2 linked regions of the Xenopus tropicalis genome follow. The main gene of each other region encodes a partner of the protein of the gene in region 2 in a complex. Links are inferred from orthologs where the notes say so. Each region holds a gene or a part of one and is shown on either strand. Other genes may lie near its edges.

Region 1 (4,840 bases), on a different chromosome or scaffold from region 2:
TCTAACCCACTGCAGACATTTGTTGGCCTCAAGTCTTGGGGACAGTTCAGTCAAACGCTATAGCAGATGACCTGGGAGAGAGGGTGCCAAGTTAGGACCTGCACTTCCATTGCACTCTCCATCCTTCCTGAGCCCAAGCTGTGGGACCTGTGCGCTTGCAGGCTTGGGTGGGAGGGGTAGAGCTACAAAACAACCTGGACAGGCGTCCTAAGGTGCACCAAGTTCCTCCAGTCTCCTTGTCTTGTTTTGTCCTGAGATAATTACCATTTTTAAATGAAAACTGCAATGTCCCTACACAGACCAATATGGAACCGACTTATATGAAGGGTAAATTAAAGGAGACATATTTGATAAATGGGGAAAACCCTAATTTTGTAGGCAATTATGAATAATATACGGTGCTGGTTTCCCTTTGGGCTAAACATTAATCCTATTTGTAAAAATGGCCCCTTTATTGGAGCTCCCTATAGATCCTCTCTCTTCTCTGACCATGTTTGAAATGAAGAGTGGGCGTGTCCTAACGGTCCCTGCAAGAAGCACAGTAGGAGGGGGAGAGCCAATCACAGACCTGCACTCACACAAGCAAAGACAGGCTTCAGTTCCCTATCAGGTCAGCCTAGCTGCTGATTGGTTCCTATCCTACAGTGCAGTGTATAGAGGGCCGCTGGCTCCCCAGCTCATCCAGAGAATTCAGCCAGCAGGAAGTGGAGCAGATGGGGGGGACTAGTGGGGTTTTGGGGGAATTTCTCAATAAATCTGTCTGAAATACAACTTTTTTAAGCACATTCCTTCTATATCTAGAGGAGTATAATTCACTGGCACATTCATAATTTTTATAGGATATGTCTCCTTTAACAGTAACTAGCCCAGGTATGGACAGCGTAACTCCTTTTAGCTATCTCGTAACCCTCATGCCTTGTACCTGGAGTTGGTAATTATTGGTCCTTAACATTACAATTGATGTTTGTTGTGCAAGAACTGATAGTTTGTGTTTGTGGGTCAGAATGCAGTTCCAGCCTCTGTAGTTACACCTGGAATCCAAAGTTGTTTAATAAACTGGTACAAGGGACATTTTCTCTGAGCAGAAGCTCAAAAAGGGCAGGAGGTGGGCAAGTGACAAACCAAAGGTTAGGGATTAAAAAAATACAAAAAAGGGATCCAAAGAACAAGGAGAGATAAATCTGATTCTTGTCTGACTGTCGCTAGTTTGGCCCTAGGTTAGAATTCTGCTGGCAGAAGAAACAATAAAATAAAAAAACATTTTAAGGTTGGACATTACAGATCTAATGTGGAGTGCCTAACCTTAATATAGTTCATTTTTATTCTACTGTTTCATAAACTAATCTATACTTTGTTACACTTAGTACCTGCTCCCAGTTTATAAAACCTGTATTTTTTTTAACGTATTTTAGTTGTTCAGGGATAAAATACGTTTAGGGGACTTCTCAAGAAAGTTACATGAAAAAAATGTTTTCTGTCCTCGCGAGATCATGATTGCGTCATCACCGTGGGACCCATTCATTCGGCCGGTGCCTGAAGCCGGCGCGCAAATTCCTGCTGCTTTAAATTCTCGCGAGATTTATGCAGAGGCGCTAGAGCGGTGAATGAGCGGAAGGCATTTGGTGTGTAGATCTGTCGTTGTCAGCGGCGTCTGTTTTGTTCTTCAGTTTCCAGATAGAGCTTGGGTGGTGCGACTGCAACAGAAGCAATGGTAACCGCTTAAGAACACTAGCGTTCCGTTACTGTTTCACGTTTTGTAGGGTAGAACCTAAGGAGTCGATAGCCATGTATTTTGTGGTGTACCAGCGTATACAGACCTGTTTGGCAATCAGTCCCCCCCCCCTATAGTCGCAAGGTCAGCTTTCTGAGTGGCCATGCCCTGCTTTGACGTTCCATGTTTTGCCTATACCAGGATTCTGGGATTTGTAGTCTTATAGCAGTGGGAGGGCTCGAATTTGGCCATCCCTGCTTTGCAACAACATTTCAATCATTTGTAACCTGATGTTAGTTGGACAGAACAACTTGTCTGTCTCTGTTATTGTTTGTGTCTTATGAGAGAACATGCTTTGCCTTGATCTGTAAAGGATCTTGGCAACATTTGTTATGTGATGTGCCTTGGGTAAGCTACAGGAGAGGCAACTGGTTTTTATAACTACTTGTTTTTATCATGTACAGCTATTCTACTCCTTCTTCAAGTCTCTTGTAGGAAAGGATGTGGTGGTAGAGCTGAAGAATGATCTGAGGTGAGTGTTTTGCCCCATGTTCTTTCTAGAATTGCTTCCCCCCCCCCCCCCCCACATGCTATACAGTCAGGCAAAAAGCTGCCACTGGTACATTTCAAGAACCTAATTTCTGTACTTTAAGGGATGTGACACACGGGGACATTAGTCGCCGCGCAACAAATCTTTCTTGTTGCGTGTCGACTAATCTCCCTGTGTGTCACAGCCCTTAAACCTAGTGCAGTGTGTGCAGTTGTGCTTTCTGCACTTGTGATGTGCCCAACACAAAAGAGGTAAGCACGGTGGGTGCAGCAGCACTTAGAGTCCCCCTGACCATTGTCAAACTTTAGAGGGCAGAGTGTATTGTGTAGACAGAATTTATAAAAACATTTTCTTGTGCTCCTGTAGACTTCACACCCTTAAATAACCACTTCTTTACCATTTAGCCATCTTTCATCCATTTAGCCTTTTGTTGCACTATTACATAAATGGTCTTATCTCTTGCAGTATCTGTGGTACTCTACACTCAGTTGATCAGGTAAGTAACTGAGCAAATATATAAATGTAGTTTATTTTCTCAGCATAATTATCAGCTCAGCCATGTTGTCACTTAAGCCTTGCAACTGAAATTGGCATAAAATCTTTCAGTGCCAGGGAAAAATGTTGGGTTGGCAAAAAAAAAATGAAAAAGTGAAAATTTTCTTTTAAATGACTTTACCATTACTGAAATTTCCACAACGCTAGGTTAAATTAAACCCTAGCAATCAGATAGCGCCTACAATTCCAAAATGGAGAGCTGCAATAAAAAAAGCTAAATTTAATTAAAGACTGCGATAATGAAGACTAGTTGCAAATTGTCTCCAATTATCACTGTCCACATCATACTAAAAGTTCATTCAAAGGTGAACAACCCCTGAAGGGACAGAGCCTTTAATAAAATGTACGCATCCTGCAGAGTATAATGTCAAACCAGGGAATATTTATTAACATAATTACTACAAGATTCTCCAAAGAGAATATTGCTCATATTTTTTTTTTTTTATACCCTAGAGGGCTTGTTTGCATAGAGGAATATCTCTGCTCTACCTGTTATCGTAGTACCTTTTCAGGTGTCTGGTGCTAAACAGTCTGTAGACCCACCTGCCCAGGGTCAAAGATGCTGTAGCACACTGATCCGTTATTGTGGTTGCATTAAGTTGCACCGACTCTTGCAATGTTTTGGGTCACTCTCAGACTGGCTGAAATGTTCCCAGTAGATGTCTGCTAATTAAGCCAATAAATCACTTTATTTAATGTGTGATCAGTGTGCTACATCATCTTTTGCATTCTGCATAGAGGAATATGTCTTGGAATAGAACTTTTGGGGGGAACTTGTGTTTTTCATTATCTCAAACAAGATTTCACTTTTTTTTTTTTTTATAGTATTTGAACATTAAGCTGACTGATATCAGTGTAACAGACCCAGAAAAATATCCACACATGGTAAGCTTTTTTTTTTTTCTTTGTATTTTTTATCTGCACCAGTAAACTAGATACTTAGCTTTTAATCCTGCTTTGAAACACTTGTTAATGTAATTATTTAAAAAATTTTTTTTTTAGTTGTCTGTAAAGAATTGTTTCATTCGGGGATCTGTGGTCCGCTATGTACAGCTCCCTGCTGATGAAGTAGACACTCAGCTTCTCCAGGACGCTGCACGGAAAGAAGCTGTACAGCAAAAGCAGTGATGTACAAGAGCTAGAAGGATGGAAGCAGGTTCACAAGCAGCACTAGGTGTTGTCAACTGCCTATATTTCTATAAGGCCAAATATAGGAGTGAGCAGCAACTTGTTACCTGTTATACAGGTTTTGCATTACATTTCTGTAAGAGACCCACACTTTTTTTTCTCATCCTAGTTCTGGAAACTTTTTTAAGTGCAGTGACTTGTGTGTTCACTTTAGAATCCAAGCAATGCATTTTGCTCTGCAAAGAAGTGGTCTCAGATAAGCAGAGTTAATTGGGAAAGACTGCCCTAACTTTTTTTTTTTTTTACTTAAATAAATTTTGTGTTAAGTCATCAGCTCATGTTTTTTTTTTTTTTTAGTGAAGCTAGTTCCTTCTGTTTGTATCTGCCTTTCTTAATTTTGTCGTAATATGATTTTTACTGGTTTAATTTTTTTTTAATATGCGTATGGTAAATTTAACCCATACCCTGAATTTGAAAAATCAGAAATTTTCCACATTGAAGAACAGAAATTTATAACATTCTGTTGTCCAGAGCTTTAAAGTCATATGACTTATACCACATGCATAAAGCAGAGTTTTTATGAATTGCTAAAGTGCAAAGACCTTACTGGCCTACATAGAATCTTTACCTAAGCCCAACTGAAATGCCAAATGAGAATCTACCTTTCTGTTTGTCTGTGTTTGGGAGCATAACTAAATGTGTGCAGTGTTTAACCTTCTAGTGGAAAGCCCTTCTCAGCAGCATCCAAGCCCAAGACATTAACAGAATCTGCCATCACAACATCACTGTTCTTACTGAAAAACCACCTACGCTGCTTCAAATGAAAGTTAATGCTTGCACACTTTTTAGAATGTTATAAATACACCTATTCTAGGCAACTTTTACATTATTTTGTA
Region 2 (5,031 bases):
AAAGCCAACATGTTAGGCACCCCATAGATCATAGATCACACATCTCTGCACACTACCACAGAGACCCTATGAATAGACCTTATTGTAGCCTCCCATGGCCCTTTTCTTTCATTTAGGATCCATAGTTCCTGACTACAGGTGAGGACGGGAACATTGACCAAAAGCAATATTCAAGACCTCAGCACCTACTTTCCTACCAGAGATCAGTACAACACAACTGATACTGACTAAATATTTTCATTACTCTCACACTCTAGCTGTTCCATCACCTGTGATCAATATTCCAAATACTTGAATTTTTTCTAAAGAGGAAGAGTCTCCCCTTCATATGGTATTGAAGGAGCTGATCTTTGTGAATGTTACATTTTACTCAGCTGAAAATAAAGTGTGAGTTAGAGATCAGGATTCACTGAGCCCCAGACAAGACATCATCATAAGCAAAATAAAAAAGCAGCTCCTTAGGATCATTAAATCCTTCTAGATATGGCTATGCATTCACTTTGTGTAGTGCTTAAAAATGCAGCTATAGCAAAGGTTGAACTTGCCACAACCAGAACTTCAGGACCAAAGTGTAATGTCAACAGAAGGTGAAAAATGAGCATCTGTACCTAGCCAAGCACTTTGATACAAAACACAGTACAGATAGAAGCACTGCTTCATTAGATTTGCTTATTCTCCTCCAAAGGATCTTGGGCCTGGCTCCACCTACAGATACATGCTGAGGAAATATATGAATGTAATTCTAATAGCAAATATTAAGCAAGTAAAGTAAATAAATACTTACCACAATCATTCTACCATCTGATGTAATTACAGCTACAGTTCCTGAATCTTATGTCAAGGAATTATTTTAATCTGTAAAACGTTATCATAAAAAATATAGAGCACCATTTTCAAAGTGAAACGAGTTCTTTATAATGCATCATCTACTGTAATGTGTGCGATTCCCTTAACTACAACATATTCACATTTTCTCTAAGGTTGGACAATGGCATAAAACACATTACAGGGTAGTCAGGCTACAGGGGCCACAAGTGAAGTTAATATTACGAATTTTTGGACCATGGATCCTTGAAAAAATAAAAAGTCTACTTCAACACCTCATAATATAATGTTGGAAAAAGCATTTTGAAGTTTGCAAAAATTATTTTTAATGTATTCAATTTTGTATCCAGAAGTGCAGCTTACATTCCCGTCTCTTCTAACATGTAATTTATATTACTCTGGGAGTCAGCTTTGTAACCCAGAATTTGGTTTAGAATGAAGGATGCCTCCCTCCTTTAATTTACTATTTATTGCATATCGTCAGTATACTGTATAGTGCCCAATGGGGTACATCACTCAGCTTAAGAGCCCCCAGGGCTGTGGAGTCAGTACACAAATCCTCAGTTTATGATACCTCTGACTTCCGGTACCCAATATTGCTTATTGCTCTAAGATCCCCTGTTGTATATAATCATGCAAAATGTTTTCTCCACTTTTGCTTTTAATGCATTATATAAACCTGTAGTACAGGTATGGGATCCCTTATCCGGAAACCCGTTATCCAGAAAGTTCCGAATTACAGGAAGGTCATCTGCCATAGATGCCATTTTAATCAAATAATTCCGATTTTTAAAAATGGCTGCTCTGTAATAATAAAACAGTACCTTGTACTTGATCCCAACTAAGATAGAATGAATCCTTATTGGATGCAAATCAACCTTATTGGGTTTATTTAATGTTTAAATTATTTCTTAGTAGACTTAAAGGAACAGTAACACCAAAAAATGTATATATTTTAAAGAAATTAAACTATAACGTACTGCTGCGCTGCATTGGTAAAAATTGTGTGTTTGCTTCAGAAACATTACTAGAGTTTATATAAACCCTGGTGTGTAGCCATGGGGGCAGCCATTCAAAAGAAGAAAAGGCACAGGTTATACAGCAGCTAACAGATAAACCCTGTAGAATACAATGGTGTCTTATCTGTTATTTGCTATGTAACCTGTGCCTTTTCTCCTTTTTTCCAGCTTGAATGGCTGCCCCCATGGCTACACAGCAGTGTATTTATATAAACTATAGTAGTGTTCCTGAAGCAAACACCCGAGTTTTACCATTGCAGGGCAACAGTGCGTTATATTTCAATTACTTTAAAACACTTTCATTTTATGCTGTTACTGTTCCTTTAAGGTAGGAGATCCAAATTACAGAAAGACCGCTTATCCGGAAAACCCCAAGTCCAGGACATTCTGGTTAACAGGCCCCGTACCTGTAATAAAACGCTATACTGATGTACTGAAAAATTCTCACTTTTTTTTATTGAAAAATGAAATACTTTTCCTACTAGCCGCACAATAGTGTATTACTGTATATTACTGAATGTCAGTGCTTCTGGACCACAGCAGTTTTCCTACTAGAGTTCTAATTTAACATAGAATAATATAGCCAAGCAAATGTAACATAGGCAAACCCGTGCTCCATGTATAATATCATCCCCTCACTCCATGTATAATATCATCCCCTCGCATTAGATTTGAGCATTTCACACTATAGGTAAGTTACAGGGGGAAAGGGCACTAACAGGCATTCATTTAAAAGGGAGGTTTAAAATGAATACCACCTGTTATACTTTCAGCTGGCTAAAAAATAAAAAAACAGACGCTAACTGGTAATTGGTTGCTAGGGGTTACAGCCCAGGTCAACATTGGCCCTGTGATAAGTAAGTCGGGGTTCCCCCAGGGAATACAGGAACCGGACGATAAACTGTAATTAAAGCTACTTAGGACCCTCAGACGAATGATGAAGTAACATGCATCCCCCACATACTGTATTTCTCTAGCACAAGTCGCTTTCCAAACAATAGCCCCCAAGCCGTGCTAGGCTACATTTCCCACAATACCCCGGTATCAGAGAGTTGTAGCAGCCGAGCTCAGAGAGCAGGGGAGACTGCTAATCTGCATGTTTATTCTGACCGTCGGGTTAAAAGTCGCACACCATAGGTTCTCAGTGCAAGCCCTCCGCATATTATGCCAACAACCCCAACAAAGGATACGGTTGATATAATTCTCCAAAGCTGATGCCATATTGGAATCGTATCCGCTGCAACTACAAACACACGCGCAGGAAATCCACGGCTCTAGCGAGGAAATTCTACGTCATTGTTAGGCGACTGAGCAAAGCCCCGCCCCTTAGTGAAAGGAGCAAGTGCGCGTTATCTGAAGTTTGCATTCATTTTGTGCGTGTGTGTGTGCGTTGGTTTCTTAATGATAGCGTATTTCTGAGCTGGGAAGATAATAGGAGGGAATATTGTATGGGAAAATGCTTTGACTCCAGTTATGATGTTAGATAACTAACGTTTCTGATGTGGTAAAGATCGCATATGTAATCAGCGCCGAATCCATTGTAAAGGGTTTGGTAGAATACCTAACTGAATCCGAATTAGCAGGTGCTAATTAGGTTATGGAAGGGTTAAATCTTCATTAGCATATGCTGATTAGGTTACGGAGAGGTTACATTTTCAAAAGGCCGAATCCTGGATTCAGTGCATCCCTAGTAATCAGGTTTATTTTGGAGAGAGAAACCTATTGCTAGAAGTGAAATTATGTTTTTGAACCATGGGTTAAAGCAATACTGTCATGGGAATACGTGTTTATTATATAATTAATAATAACACATGGGGCTAGCCATTTCCTTACTAGTCCAGGTGGCCCTGCTCTAAATACTTGTCTTTTTTTACTGCTGCACTGCAAGTTGGAGTGATGTCACCCCCCCCCCCTTCCCTTTCCTCTGGTGAAGGATTCAGCTGCCTGAACTGATAGTGCCTCCATAGGCTAATAGCACTGCTTGTGCTGTCTTGAGTTTTAGGGGCACATTTACTAATCCACAAATGCTCCGAATGTGTTTTTTTCGTAATGATCGGTATTTTGCGATTTTTTTCGTAAATTGTCACGACTTTTTCGTAACCATTATGATTTGCGCAAATTATCGCAACTTTTTCGGAGCCGTCGCGCCGAGTACAAAAGTTTCGGATTCATTCAAGCTTCAGTATCATGACTTTTCTTGGGCCAGGTTGGAGCTGTAGAGTACCATTGAGTCCTATGGGAGGCTTCCAAAATCATGCAAAGTCTGAAAGGTTTGCCCGCCATTTACGAGCGCTCAATACAAAAAAGTTGCGACAATATACGAGCAAATCGTAACGGCTACGAAAAAGTCGCGACAATTCGCGCAAGTCGTAATGGTTACGAAAAAGTTGTAACGGCGACGAAAAAAATCGCAAAAAATACGAAAAAGTCGCAAAATGTTCGTTTTCCAATCTGAATTTTTCCCATTCGGATTCGTGGATTAGTAAATCAGCCCCTTAGTGAGCAGGTAAACAGGCAAAACTGCCTATACTCCATCCCAATAATTTAAGGTGGCTTTAGGCATTTCTCTGCCAGCTAATATACACTAGCTAATATACACTAGCCACACCTAGTGGTTGATATGACCCTTAAAGTCACCTAAAATAAATGGGTGTCAGTAATAACGTCTCCCTACTTAATGGACTGGTAGCAACAAAAAATTAATGTTTTATGTGCATTAAGAGGAGACCCAGACTCACGAGGGGTTAGGTACACTGTAGAAATGATGTTTTTCTCTAAGTCGAGTGGCCATTTTTAACCAGCTTAACCAAAGTGATCGTCTGGGAGAGGTGCTTTGACAGACTGGAGTTTAGCACATTTCGAAAACCCCAGGTACATTTTATCCCATGTTGGGCAAACTTTCATGTGTATATATAAGATATACATATTATATGTGTACATCCATTTGTGTAAGGAGTTGTTAGGATGTATTAAAAAAGATTTTTTAATACATGCATTATATGTTTATAATTATTTCATGTGAGAAAGCAGTTTGTTAGTACAGGTATTGGACCCCTTACCCGGAAACCATTATCCAGAAAGTTCCAAATTACAGAAAGGCCATATCCCATAGATTGAATTGTAATCAAATAATTCATATTTTTAAAAGTGGTTTCCTTTTACTCTGTAATAATAAAACAGTACCTTG

What was found. Proteins that work in one complex are often made in the same cells at the same time.
Region 1: lsm8 (region 2) and lsm2 share a complex: the UniProt entries of both Homo sapiens proteins name them as parts of the precatalytic spliceosome. The link is inferred for Xenopus tropicalis from reciprocal best matches to the Homo sapiens genes LSM8 and LSM2.

What each region holds. Positions count from the first base shown.
Region 1 is NC_030684.2:75,102,625-75,107,464, reverse strand, and holds lsm2 (U6 snRNA-associated Sm-like protein LSm2), read left to right. Parts: upstream 1-1,570; 5' UTR 1,571-1,708; coding exon 1,709-1,711; intron 1,712-2,175; coding exon 2,176-2,243; intron 2,244-2,726; coding exon 2,727-2,757; intron 2,758-3,641; coding exon 3,642-3,701; intron 3,702-3,818; coding exon 3,819-3,944; 3' UTR 3,945-4,277; downstream 4,278-4,840. UniProt on the Homo sapiens protein: Plays a role in pre-mRNA splicing as component of the U4/U6-U5 tri-snRNP complex that is involved in spliceosome assembly, and as component of the precatalytic spliceosome (spliceosome B complex).
Region 2 is NC_030679.2:68,679,800-68,684,830, reverse strand, and holds the start of lsm8 (LSM8 homolog, U6 small nuclear RNA associated), read right to left. Parts: upstream 3,192-5,031; 5' UTR 3,066-3,191; coding exon 3,035-3,065; intron 826-3,034; coding exon 785-825; intron 1-784. UniProt on the Homo sapiens protein: Plays a role in pre-mRNA splicing as component of the U4/U6-U5 tri-snRNP complex that is involved in spliceosome assembly, and as component of the precatalytic spliceosome (spliceosome B complex).